Linked DNA regions of Caenorhabditis elegans. Changing the gene in region 2 together with the main gene of any one other region gives a genetic interaction. Each region holds a gene or a part of one and is shown on either strand. Other genes may lie near its edges. The genes, in order: lig-4 and atm-1.

Region 1 (6,065 bases), on a different chromosome or scaffold from region 2:
ATTGCAGAAAAGCTGAACGAAAAAGCTGAAATAAATTCAATACGCGAAATGTTTCTAAGATCAATTGGAATAGTTTATACAACTATTTTACGGAAGAATCTGAAACGTATGGATAGTAGAAAGCAGGAATCAAAAAATGAACACTGACAATATGAACAGTTCTTAATTTTCCTTAAATTTATGTTTCGAATTTCCTTTCTAAACATTGTTCATGCCATGCAAAACTACCGTAATCCGTGCCCACCCCCTGGTGGTAGTTGAGTGTCAGTTGTGTGTCTCTTGTCGAAAATTGATCGGTGTCTTCGGTTCCTCTTCTTCTTCTTTCGTAGCTGATGCCACTACTGCTGTTTGGTATTTTTGTGAATGTTGTCGCATGATGATGCAGAGATGTCTCCAAAGAATTTCAGGGATCTGGCGAGAAAAAGGGACTTACGAGTTATCCTGATAAAATCTCAATTTTCAAGAGACACTGTCAATCCACGGAGGAATAATGATTTACGGTCTAATAATAAACAATTCTTGGACAAATCACTGATGTGTTATATTTTGTTATATAAGATGACAAATTGGTAAAAGATTATTCATAGATCAATATCATATTCACAGGAATGCGGAGAACAATAAAACTGCATGAAGTAGATCTATCAAAAAGGAAATAAAGAGCGATATCACATATAATCGAAATTAGTAAATTATTCCTGAATCTCGAATCCACCTTCGATGGCATGAAACACATCAGAAGGCAACCAAGCCTGAATCAGATCATCTTTATTGCAACGTTCGAGCCAGGCGGGTTTCAGAACAGTACAAGAGTTCGAAGCGATGGCTTGAGCTGTTTTAGGGTGTGTGGATTTTGGAGCAGTAGCAATACATAATTTGGTGGATGGAGCTGAAAAAAGAAGTTCATATTGAAGATCGGATAAAAAGTCTAATTTTTAGAAGATTATATTTCATAATTAATTCACACAAAAAATATGCGCAACTGTAAATCAATCAGATTAAACGTTGTCCGCTCGAGGGTTTCAGGATTATCTTTCTTGTCTTTTGGCCCACTTCAATTGATGAGTAACACCACTAACACAGACCAGCTGGCCGCTCTGAGCCGACTCAACACTTGTACTATTTATCACTGTCTCTAGCTTGTGTATAAGTAGAAGGATATGAGCACAATGGTGACTAATGGAATTTTGAGTTTGTTGTGCGGGGTATGATGACTCGTTGAAAACGACTTCAACTTGAAAACTAAATCACTCACTTATTCCTTTCACTACAGTTGCATCAAAATGTTTCAAGATCTCTTCACACTTTCGTCGAATTGTTTCAGATGTTCCCTGAAGAACGGCGACTTCAATTCCAGTCAAACTTGACTCTAATTTGGCACGTTTCAGACGAACAGGAGCTGCTGTAAATTAAAAGAATAAATCAAAATTAAATTTTCTGAATGTCTACATTGATGAATAGCTTTGCGGGTAATTCGTTCCACTTTCAAAGTATCTGGTTTCTTATCTTCAGAATCTTCTTCATCACTGTCCACGTTATCACCCAATTTACATTCTTGAACTTTCTGAAATACAAATAATAATTCTTCGCTTCCGTTTAAAACTTGACACGTGCCGTTGCATAGTCTGAAAATTCTTCCCAAGTGTTGACCTGTTCAACAGGCTTATCAAGTCTCCACTCTCTCATAACAGGATCAACCAATTTTCCGTTGCGAACACCGTTCGATGTGATTTTAATCACTTGCCAGCGCTCGAAATCAATGTATCCACCATCTCCTCTGGCAATATTTTTCGGTCGTTTTCCATAAAATGTGAGCTCTTCAGGAGCTTCTTCTAGGAGTTGCCCATACTCAAAACGAATCGCCTCGCGAACAGTGTCAGAAAGTCCATAAGAGCATGAGAGGCATAGCTTGTAATCTTGAGTTTTCTCATCAAAAGCCGCAAATCTGTAGAGCGTTTTTCCATTCCTTCCAGCTCCTGGATGTACAGCAACTAGTGCCAGATCTAGATCACAGTCCTTTGATGCAGACGGTTTCAGCTTGAACCATCCATTAGAAGCGCTTCTGAAAATAAAGAATAGACTTTGAACTAGAATATTATTTCCAGCTTTACCTTTGTCCTTTCACGTAAACACTATCTGTTCTCTTCACAACGATTCCTTCTTCATTATTTGCCATTGCTATTTCAAAGAATTGTTGAATGTCCTCTCTGAAAAAAAGTTGATGAAGACCCAAAAATTATGAATGCTTTCGACAAACTTTTTACTCCCCTCCTCATGTTTCGCCACAAAAATTGTATCTTCTCGTTCTTTTTTCAGTGGAGCAATCTTGAGCATCTCGAGTCTCTGATGAAGTGGTGCTCCAAAAAACGGTTTTCCATTTAAGTACAGTAAATCAAACAAGACGACGGCTGAAATGTGAAGTTTTTGCATAAATTTAATTCATTTCAACTCACTTAATTGTTGATTATCGTCAGGTTTGACATGTCGGAATGATAAAACTTGAGCATCTGATGTGGTTGAAGCATCGTTGTGACGGCAAAGTTTTTTCGTTTTCTTATCCCATAACATGAGTTCGCAGTTGAAAATTGCCGATTCACATTCTTTATTGAAAAATGAATGTATACGACTGGAGAGCTTTCCGATTGCCATTGACGAATCACCGTATTCCTGAAAATCCCAAACTGGATACAATTTTTCGAATAAAAAATTTCTAAGTTTATATTTTGAGCCGACTTTTTTTAAATATTATTTTTATTTCTGAATTTTTAAACATATTATTTAGATGTGGATCACAGTACATTGTTAAAGGCACACACCTTCCTACATTTTACAGAAAAGTCGTGTCGAGACCCGGTATCGTATTTGGCCGCAAAACTTCGCGTCCGGGTAATACCACAAATACGTAATAAGTTATTAATCAAAAACAAACCTTCGAAAAATCATTGTTATTTCTTGTAAACCATCGATATTCGTTTCCTTTCTTATGAAGCAGCACATTCTCTCCATCGAATTTTGTTTGCAGAAAGAATTTCTGACCTCCAAACTTTTCAATCTGTAACAATAAATTGTACTTGAATTATGAACTGAATTCCAAAACTCACATTTGCATACCAGTCACCTCTTTTCTGCTTCTGAAGTAACATGGGTGTCCATATTTTAAAAAGATGCTCATCGTCATCATCATTTGTTTCTCCTAATTCGTTGGTTCCTTTGTTTTCTACCAATTTTCCTTTTAGAACTGCTTTCAAATCATGTGTCTGATCCCAAATAGCACAAGCAGAAGGCGATATCCAGTCGAGAATCCTGTTACTTGGGGCTCCAAGAGCTGATTCAACGTTCTTAAGAATTACGTTGAAAATCCATTCCAACTCGTCTTCAGAGCATCTCTTAACGAGTTTCGACATCTTATCTCGTTCTGAAAACTTTTTTTTGAATAGGAAAAGGTGTAAGCCAATAACTGACTGTTCCCATCATCCATTGGTCCCGCCGCTAAGAAATCAAGAATTTCGTTCAACTCGGAAACCGTGACTACTGTAGATTCATCATTTTCAGTTCTATATTCTTCAGAAATCTTTTCAGCCAACTGACGAGCTGCTGTTGATGCATCTTTCGAGATAGTTGATACGTAATCAGCCCTGACGTCGTGAAAAGTTTTTGCCATAAAGCTTGCCAACTTAGTCGGTCCCATGTCGAACTTTCTGAACCTCTCGTAATCCGAAACGAAGAACCGTATTATGACAAACATATCAGATGGATCAGAACCTGAATTTAAAAGAATAACGTCACATTGTAATAGTTCGCCCAATTGTCTTACACTTTTCTTTCCATGATTCAAAGTTTTTCTGAAAGGTTGCTTGCTTTGATTTCACATTTGAAGTCCGCCGAATCTTGTTGAAGACGTCAACTACTTCGTCGAAGATCACATCTGACGCCATGAAGATTCTTCAAAAATAATTTTATTGAACATCTATTCGGAATAACGAACGAAAATAAATAAACAAAAGTATGCACAAATTTGGGAAAGAGACGGACAATGAGGGGTAAAATGGGAAAAATCGATTATGAAATATGCTCAATTAGAGCTCTTCGGCTCTTCGTTCTTTTTGTGCTCGACGTGGCCACGACAATGACCGGTTTCACAATCCGAATCAGAATCCGAGCTTGAGTCTTGCCAATTTTTGGGCTTCTTGTAGATACAACAGCATTTGCTCTTCTTCTTGCCCATTCCTTCGTTATCCACTGTTTCGGTGGCCCAAACTACGTGTCGCCGTTCTGAAGTTGATGGCTGAGCTGGATTTGGACTAAGATGAAGCACCAAGTTCTGTTCTCGAGATGGAGGAACGGTGACAGTAGAGGTTTCAGTGCTTGAAGCAGTTTGTTGTTGAGTGTGGCTCATGTTCTGTAATTTAACAATATTTTTTTTTAATTGAACGAAAAATAGTGGAACAAAAAATAAGCCTGACAAATTCTCGTGAAATCAAGTAAACAGCAACAAAAATGTTTCATAATATTTTGTCCGAGTGGACTTCAAAAGACTGCATGGCCTAGAATCCAAATTCATTCCTCGTCCCCATGTGGTGAACTCCTCTCGGACAACTTATTCGAAGAACAATTTTTCATCGAATATTCGATCGAACTTCAATTTATATCGATGTTTCTTCTATTTTAGTGCAAATTTTAATCAAAAAAATTAAACCTTTTGTCAACATGGCGCGAAATTTTCCCACTGCTCTCGATTACCTGGGATCAGAAGCTGAAGATTTTAACAAGGCGCAACACTTGTATCTGAAACCGATGGCTGTTATAAAAATTACCGTAGTGCTGCCTCGGGTACGTTTTTTTAACTATCATAATTACATCGATTTATTATTTAATTGTAGATGACGATCCCGGGACAATCAATATCTAATTGGGATCTCATGGAAAGACTAAAACGTGCAATTGATCCAATTCAAATGGATTCTTGCAAAGTTCGTGAGAGCAATATCGACAGTGTTATTTTTGAAGCGGAACTTCTTTCGCTAGGAATCATGCAGAAAACGATGAAGATTCTCGATGGATTCTCTATGAAAGTGTCTGGATTTGCTGAGCCCTTGAAAGTTAAAACAAAAGAGGCAAAGCTTGATTTTCCAAGTCGTCATGATTGGGATGATTGGTTTATGAAACATAAGATGGACGAGATGAAACCCGGAGAACGTCCTGATACAGTTTATTTGGCAAGAATTCCAGTGAAATGGTTCTGCGTACGTTGCTCCATAACATTGCATTCGAATTTATTTCACCAAACACATTTTTAGGATGGTTACAATGATCTTCCTTCTGAACGACGTCTTCGCGTTGCAATGGAAGCGTTCGGATCTGTTAGAGTTGTCGACATTCCAATTTGTGACCCACTCCGATCTCGAATGAATTCAAAAATCTCTGGTATTCAGCAAAAAGGTTTCGGATTAGGGCAGGTATCGCAGTGTTTTATTTGTAAAATCAAACGAATTGAATTTTTAGGATGTATTTTTTGAAGCATATGTGCAATTTATGGAGTATAAAGGTTTCGCCACTGCCATGGATTCCCTGAGAAATCGTAAATGGGCAAAACGAATTGATGGACGGTTCTTTCAGGCTAATGTCAAGGTATAGTAGGGTAGTAGAGTTAGTTTGCAATTTTGAAAAATCTATCACATTATTTCTAAACGTTCAATATCAATTTTAAAAATTGCATATTCTTCGCTGAAACGAATCACCTCGTGCCACTCTACAGGTTAGTTAATTTCCCAGAATTAAGGTTGAGAAATAGCTTAAAATTTCATAGGTGGATTTCGATCGATCACGTCATCTCAGCGAAGTTCAAATTGCAAAGCGAGCGGAAGAACGACGTCAAATTGAAACGGAACGACTGCGGCAAGAAGAAGAGGAGTTGAATATCAAGTTTGTTGATGCTACAATTTTAAAAATAACTCACCTCTTCAGACGTCAAGAAGAACTGAAAGTTAAACAAGAACTCGATGATAAAGATAGAAGACGAGAAGATAGAGAACGGAAACGCCGCGAAAAGGTTCACTTGAAACGTT
Region 2 (5,181 bases):
CAAATATTCGGATTCTTCCACACTGGTATCTCCATAATAAGATTCCTTTATAATGCTTGCCAAATGATCTGCCACCTTCTGCTCATGTCTCGAAATCGAGGGATTTGATGGGAGGGGATTGGGAAAATGACGATGCAAGGCAAACATCACGTTTCCGATATCAAAAGACATTGAATAAAAGAAAACCAATAGAATGTAAACTATTAAAGTGACAATTTCAGTGAAATTTATCAAAATACGAAAATAATAAAATTAAAAATTAGCGCCAGCTAACTATTTAGCAGAGCAAATACGTTTTGACCCAATATAAAAACAATAATATGAAAAAAAAAAATTAAAATAAAGTTTTACCAAATCGATATTGGCAAAACATCTTGTTTTTGAGGCTCCATATCTCTGCAGGAAAAAATCGCACTAAAAAGTGATTAACTGAAAACTTGTTAAACACAATGTAATCTGAAACTTTTCAGTTGAACACTTTTTTGTAAAAAATTTCGTTGCCAAGATATAGATCTTTAACTATTTAGAATATTCAAAAATAATGAAGCTCAAATCAATTGGTTCCAACTCGGCAACGAAATTTTTTACAAAAAAGTGTTCAACTGAAATGTTTTAGATCACATTGTGTTTAACAAGTTTCTAGTTGATCACTTTTTAGTGCGATTTTTTCCTGCAGAGATATGGAGCCTCAAAAACAAGATGTTTTGCCAATATCGATTTGGTAAAACGTCTTGATAAGGCATCAGAATCAATGATTCGGTCATTGAAAATAATGAAAAATAGGTTATTTGTGACACTCTAAAATATTTCATGCATTTTTAAAAAAATTTCAAAAAAAAATTTTTCGATCAAATTTTCTCATGGGTTTGGTGGAGAAAAAAGTGACAATTTTCGAAAAAAATTAAAATTTCTGAAAAGTTTCCAGGGTAATTATGGTTCAATTAAAAAGCAAAAAAATTATGTAAAACCCTCAAAAAAATGTTCTAAATACTTGTTTCCCGTTCTGAAAATTTTGTATAAAAAAGGCCAAAAGTTAAACCATGTATGGGAACCGAACCCACAAACTTCTGCTCAAGAGGCGAACGCGTTCACCACTCGACCACCGAACCGATGTTTTCGCCCTTCCACCATTGTGGTGAGACTTCTGTTGGCGCCAGAGACAAAAATCCACTGTTAACCATAGGAAATGCACTGATTTCAGTGTAGAATTTCAGACGTAAAAATTTCAGATTTCCAGCCCGAACGGGCAAAAATTTCAGTCATATTCTTATAGTAGAGAATGCCAGCTTTCCGATACAATATATTTTTTTTGAATATCGCTCCATTTATTCTGGTCATTCCCTAGTGAGCCTAACAAGGGAAGTATTTCAACTTAATCCCGGATTTCTGAATGAAACCTATGTCATTTCGAAGAAGACCCTTTAAGTAGGCCCCTACAAAAAAATTTAGCGGCAGAGGAGCACTTTGAACTGGAAAAAAGTCGCTCTGAAAATTTTTCTCTGCGTCCTCTCCTTTTCCAAAGCTATTTCTCACGTCCCTATATATTTAAGTAGATATCAAAGAGTCACGTTTTTTTGTCATCCATTTCATTTACAAGAAAAATTGTCGTTGAATGACCGAGTGGTTAGCGAGTTTGATTAATATTTTTTAAGACTGGGGTTCGACTCCGGGTGCCGATTTTTTTCCAAAATTGGTTTTTGCAGTTCCGAAAAATCTCAAAAAAATTTTCATTGTGTAAAAACACCCAATTTTGATCTTAAATAACTGACAACTTTTCTGAAATTTAAAAAAAATATATATATATATTCACTGAAAAATTTTGCCATGGACTTATTCAAAAAATTTCAGATTTTTTCGAAAATTTTAAAAAATTCCAAAAAAAATTCCGAGTGCTCTCCGGCCCCTGAGCATCCTAGAAATCTTCAAAAATCTACAAAAATTCGCATTTGGAGCCATTTTACGGGCCTTGAAAGCCGTGAAAAAATGCACTGAAAAGTTTTCAGAGCGACTTTTTTCCAGGTCAAAGTGCTCCTCTGCCGCTAAATTTTTTGTAGGGACCTACTTAAAGAGTCTTCTTCGAAATGACATAGGTTTCATTCTGAAGTCCGGGAATAAGTTGAAATACTTCCCTTGTAAGCCTATGCCTAAGCCTAAATCTAAGCTTAAGCTTAAGCCTAAGTCCAAGCCAATTTGAATTTTTTGAACATTATTTCAAGAACTCGTTTTCCACGCACTATTCTTTGGGATTTCCCATTTCCACACTTTTCTTCAGTGTTCCCATCACTTTCGCCATCAGGTCAATAGGCGACTTCTCGAAAACCACGTAATCCACGTTTTCCAGCAAGTTCGCCGCCAATTCCATATAATTTCTCATGGCGAGTGCCCCAATATCGGCGGTCTCGACACGGCTCCAAATCCATTTCCATAAGCTGCTCAAATGAGCATGCTCGGCCCAATGGAGCTGTGAGGCGTTGGAGCTCAATAGGAGCACGTTGGAAATCTCGTTTTCGATCGATTTTTCGGTGATTGTGATTGGAAATTCCAGTAGTTTCAGACAATATGCTATCCATGGCACCTGATTGTGATCGATTCCCTGCTGACAGCAACGTTTTAAATGTTGTATTGATAGCTCGAAAAGTGGAGTTGGGACTGGTTTTTCGCTTCGTCTTGTGCCCTTTTTTCGTTCTTTTTCGAATTGTTGGTTGGCTTCTTCGATTTCCTGGAATTTTTTGCTCTCATAAGCCTCAATATTTTTTAATGCTTATTTTTAAATTTACTTGTTGTTTACGACTTTTTAACAAAAAAAAAACTAACTTTCTTAGCTAAGTTGAATATACGTGCAGATAAATCATACAAATCATATATCTCCTGGTTATCCTCACTTAATGCCTCCGCTCCCAGAGCGTGATAGAGAAGAACCACCTCGTCGACGATTTTCTGCAAAAAAACAAATCAGGTTTTTTCGATAAATTCCACCAAAAACTTGCCTTTCTCGCCGTTTTCGTTCCATCCCACTCCAGAAGCTGAGCTATCGCGTGTTTCAGATTTTTTAGCTGAGTAACGCTCATTTTCGCATATTTCTGCAAACAAATTGTAAAGTGTGACGAGTTTCAGGTGATAAAATGCTTGAGGTGGGCGAGTGTTATCAATAAATTGAGAAAATAGAAGAATTTTTGATCAGCTGGGCGGAAAATGCGGTAAATAACGAATTTTTGTAGGGAAAATTGATTTTTGAAGGATTTTCCCAGGTTCAGACCACTAAAAAAATTGTAAATCTCTGTTAAAAGTGATTAGATGCAACAAATAATTAATTTTTACATTGCAAAGCAAGAAAATCCACCAAAAATCCGCCAAAAATCTATTTTTTGGGCTTTAAAAATCAAGACAATTCAAAAAAGCTTGATTCCCGCGCGCCACGATTTCCCTCATCTCGAGATTTCTCTGCGTCTACGCTCTCTAACGCGTGTCAGTGGAGCGCACTTGCATTTCTTGTTTTTAGTTAATTTTTTTTCGTTTTTGCATCATTTTTTGCGCAATTTCTCACATTTTTGACCTATTTTTAATGCATTTCTATAGATTTGTCGTAGACTATGTATAGTTTCATAAGTTTACGCCCTAAAACGGCTTCTAAAACTGACGAAACGAAAACCAAGTTTAAAAATTAATTTCAGAATGGAAATCGGTCCAGATGGAAAGCCGTGTCGTGCATGCGTCAGTGTAGAGGATATGATGAAAAAAGGCAGAGAAATGGCTGAAAAAATAAAGAAAAAAGGTGATTTCCCTAGATTTCCAGAGCAAAAAATCTCAATTATTTTAGTTCTTTGCAGAATCCGAGACGACGCCGAGCACGAGCACAGGAGCGAAGTTGCACGGATGTCCAGTAGACAAGGATGAGCTCGGTTCGCTTTTAATTCAAATTTCCACCAAAAATTTCAAATTTCAGGCAGATCCACGTGGAATTTGCTACACACAATGTCGGTTTACTACCCGGAAAAGCCTACCGACGAGGATAAGGATCGAGCCAGAAGTTTCATGTCTATTCTAGGAAAAGTTAGCTAATAAGCTCAAGATTCCCACAAAAACGCCTAAATTTTTCAGACATATCCCTGCGATTTCTGCGCCAAAGATCTCCGAAAAGATCTGAAAGAATCGCCGCCAAAAGTGGAAAGCCGCGAGGCGTTTGCGCTATGGATGTGCCAGCTACACAATAAAGTCAACGAAAAAACCGGAAAACCAAAGTTCGAGTGTCGAGATGTGATGCAAAGGTGGCGAGACGGGTGGAAAGATGGATCGTGTGATTATTAATTGAGAAGAATAAATAGAATATATCAAAGATTTTTGTACAGAATTCGAAAATAAAGTATGAAAAAATTAAAGCCTGACACATGTGATAAAAGTGAAGAATTTCGGGACATATATACACAAAAATTTACCGGATTTTTTCGAGAAAAATTCAACAAATGGTCTAAAATATAGACTAAAAATCGGTGGCCTGAACGATTTGATTGGGGTATAGTGAGAGTTGAATCGTCTTCGGCGCACAATACTCCTCGACCGACGGAGTACGAGATTGAAGTTTCTGGCTCTTCAAAAGCTGGTAACTATCGATGACGACGTACATGCACCAGGTCTGCAAAAATTAAAGTTACATGGGTCTCGCCATGGGAAAAGCTCACATTCAGCACAGCGATGAGCAAGTAGGAGACTGCGAAAATGACGAGAAGGCCCACTAGGAATCCGGAAACCACGTTTGTTGTGATCATTGGCGCCGGGAGAATTGTCTGGAAAATTTAAAATACATATATTAATGAAAAAAAAAAATTTTTTTCGCAAAATGGGTCTTTTTTTTGGAAGCAAAAAAATGAGGAAAAATTGAGGAAAAAGAAGGAATTTCCCAAGGAAACAAATTTCATTTTTTACCACACTTACCATGGAATCAGCGGCGATTTGCGGATTTGTAACCACGACGAGCAACTGAAACGTGGCACCGTGGAAAAGCGCATAAAGCGTCGCACATGTGAGTCCCAGGAAGCACAAAACGAGCAGAATCTGCATGACGATGTGCGGGATGAGAAGATTTCCGATTTGGTAGAAAATCGCGACGAAAAGCAGAAAAATGACGAGCAGAAAGAGCAAGGCGGCGATTGTGAAGACGGTCGAGTGCTCCGAATTGCCCCAACT

What was found.
Region 1: changes in atm-1 (region 2) and lig-4 impair growth when combined (synthetic growth defect), as found in Caenorhabditis elegans (one study listed by BioGRID).

Annotation. Positions count from the first base shown.
Region 1 is NC_003281.10:7,519,340-7,525,404, reverse strand, and holds lig-4 (DNA ligase IV), read right to left. Parts: upstream 3,943-6,065; 5' UTR 3,936-3,942; coding exon 3,815-3,935; intron 3,763-3,814; coding exon 3,463-3,762; intron 3,416-3,462; coding exon 3,102-3,415; intron 3,053-3,101; coding exon 2,930-3,052; intron 2,668-2,929; coding exon 2,454-2,667; intron 2,409-2,453; coding exon 2,258-2,408; intron 2,208-2,257; coding exon 2,112-2,207; intron 2,063-2,111; coding exon 1,611-2,062; intron 1,561-1,610; coding exon 1,450-1,560; intron 1,403-1,449; coding exon 1,256-1,402; intron 1,136-1,255; exon of another isoform or gene 1,050-1,135; intron 890-1,049; coding exon 693-889; 3' UTR 535-692; downstream 1-534. Other genes in the region: C07H6.2 (E3 ubiquitin-protein ligase PPP1R11), read right to left, coding at 4,073-4,396; akap-17A (RRM domain-containing protein), read left to right, coding at 4,708-4,830, 4,881-5,243, 5,298-5,456, 5,503-5,628, 5,807-5,922, 5,965-6,049.
Region 2 is NC_003279.8:181,263-186,443, reverse strand, and holds the start of atm-1 (Serine/threonine-protein kinase ATM), read right to left. Parts: upstream 3,081-5,181; 5' UTR 3,069-3,080; coding exon 2,988-3,068; intron 2,938-2,987; coding exon 2,815-2,937; intron 2,720-2,814; coding exon 2,235-2,719; intron 1,110-2,234; exon of another isoform or gene 1,035-1,109; intron 1-1,034. Other genes in the region: F56C11.3 (Sulfhydryl oxidase), read left to right, coding at 3,673-3,772, 3,828-3,899, 3,944-4,050, 4,099-4,305; F56C11.5 (MARVEL domain-containing protein), read right to left, coding at 4,478-4,630, 4,677-4,781, 4,930-5,181. UniProt on the Caenorhabditis elegans protein: Serine/threonine protein kinase which activates checkpoint signaling in the presence of DNA double strand breaks (DSBs) and other forms of DNA damage induced by ionizing radiation and other genotoxic stresses such as UV.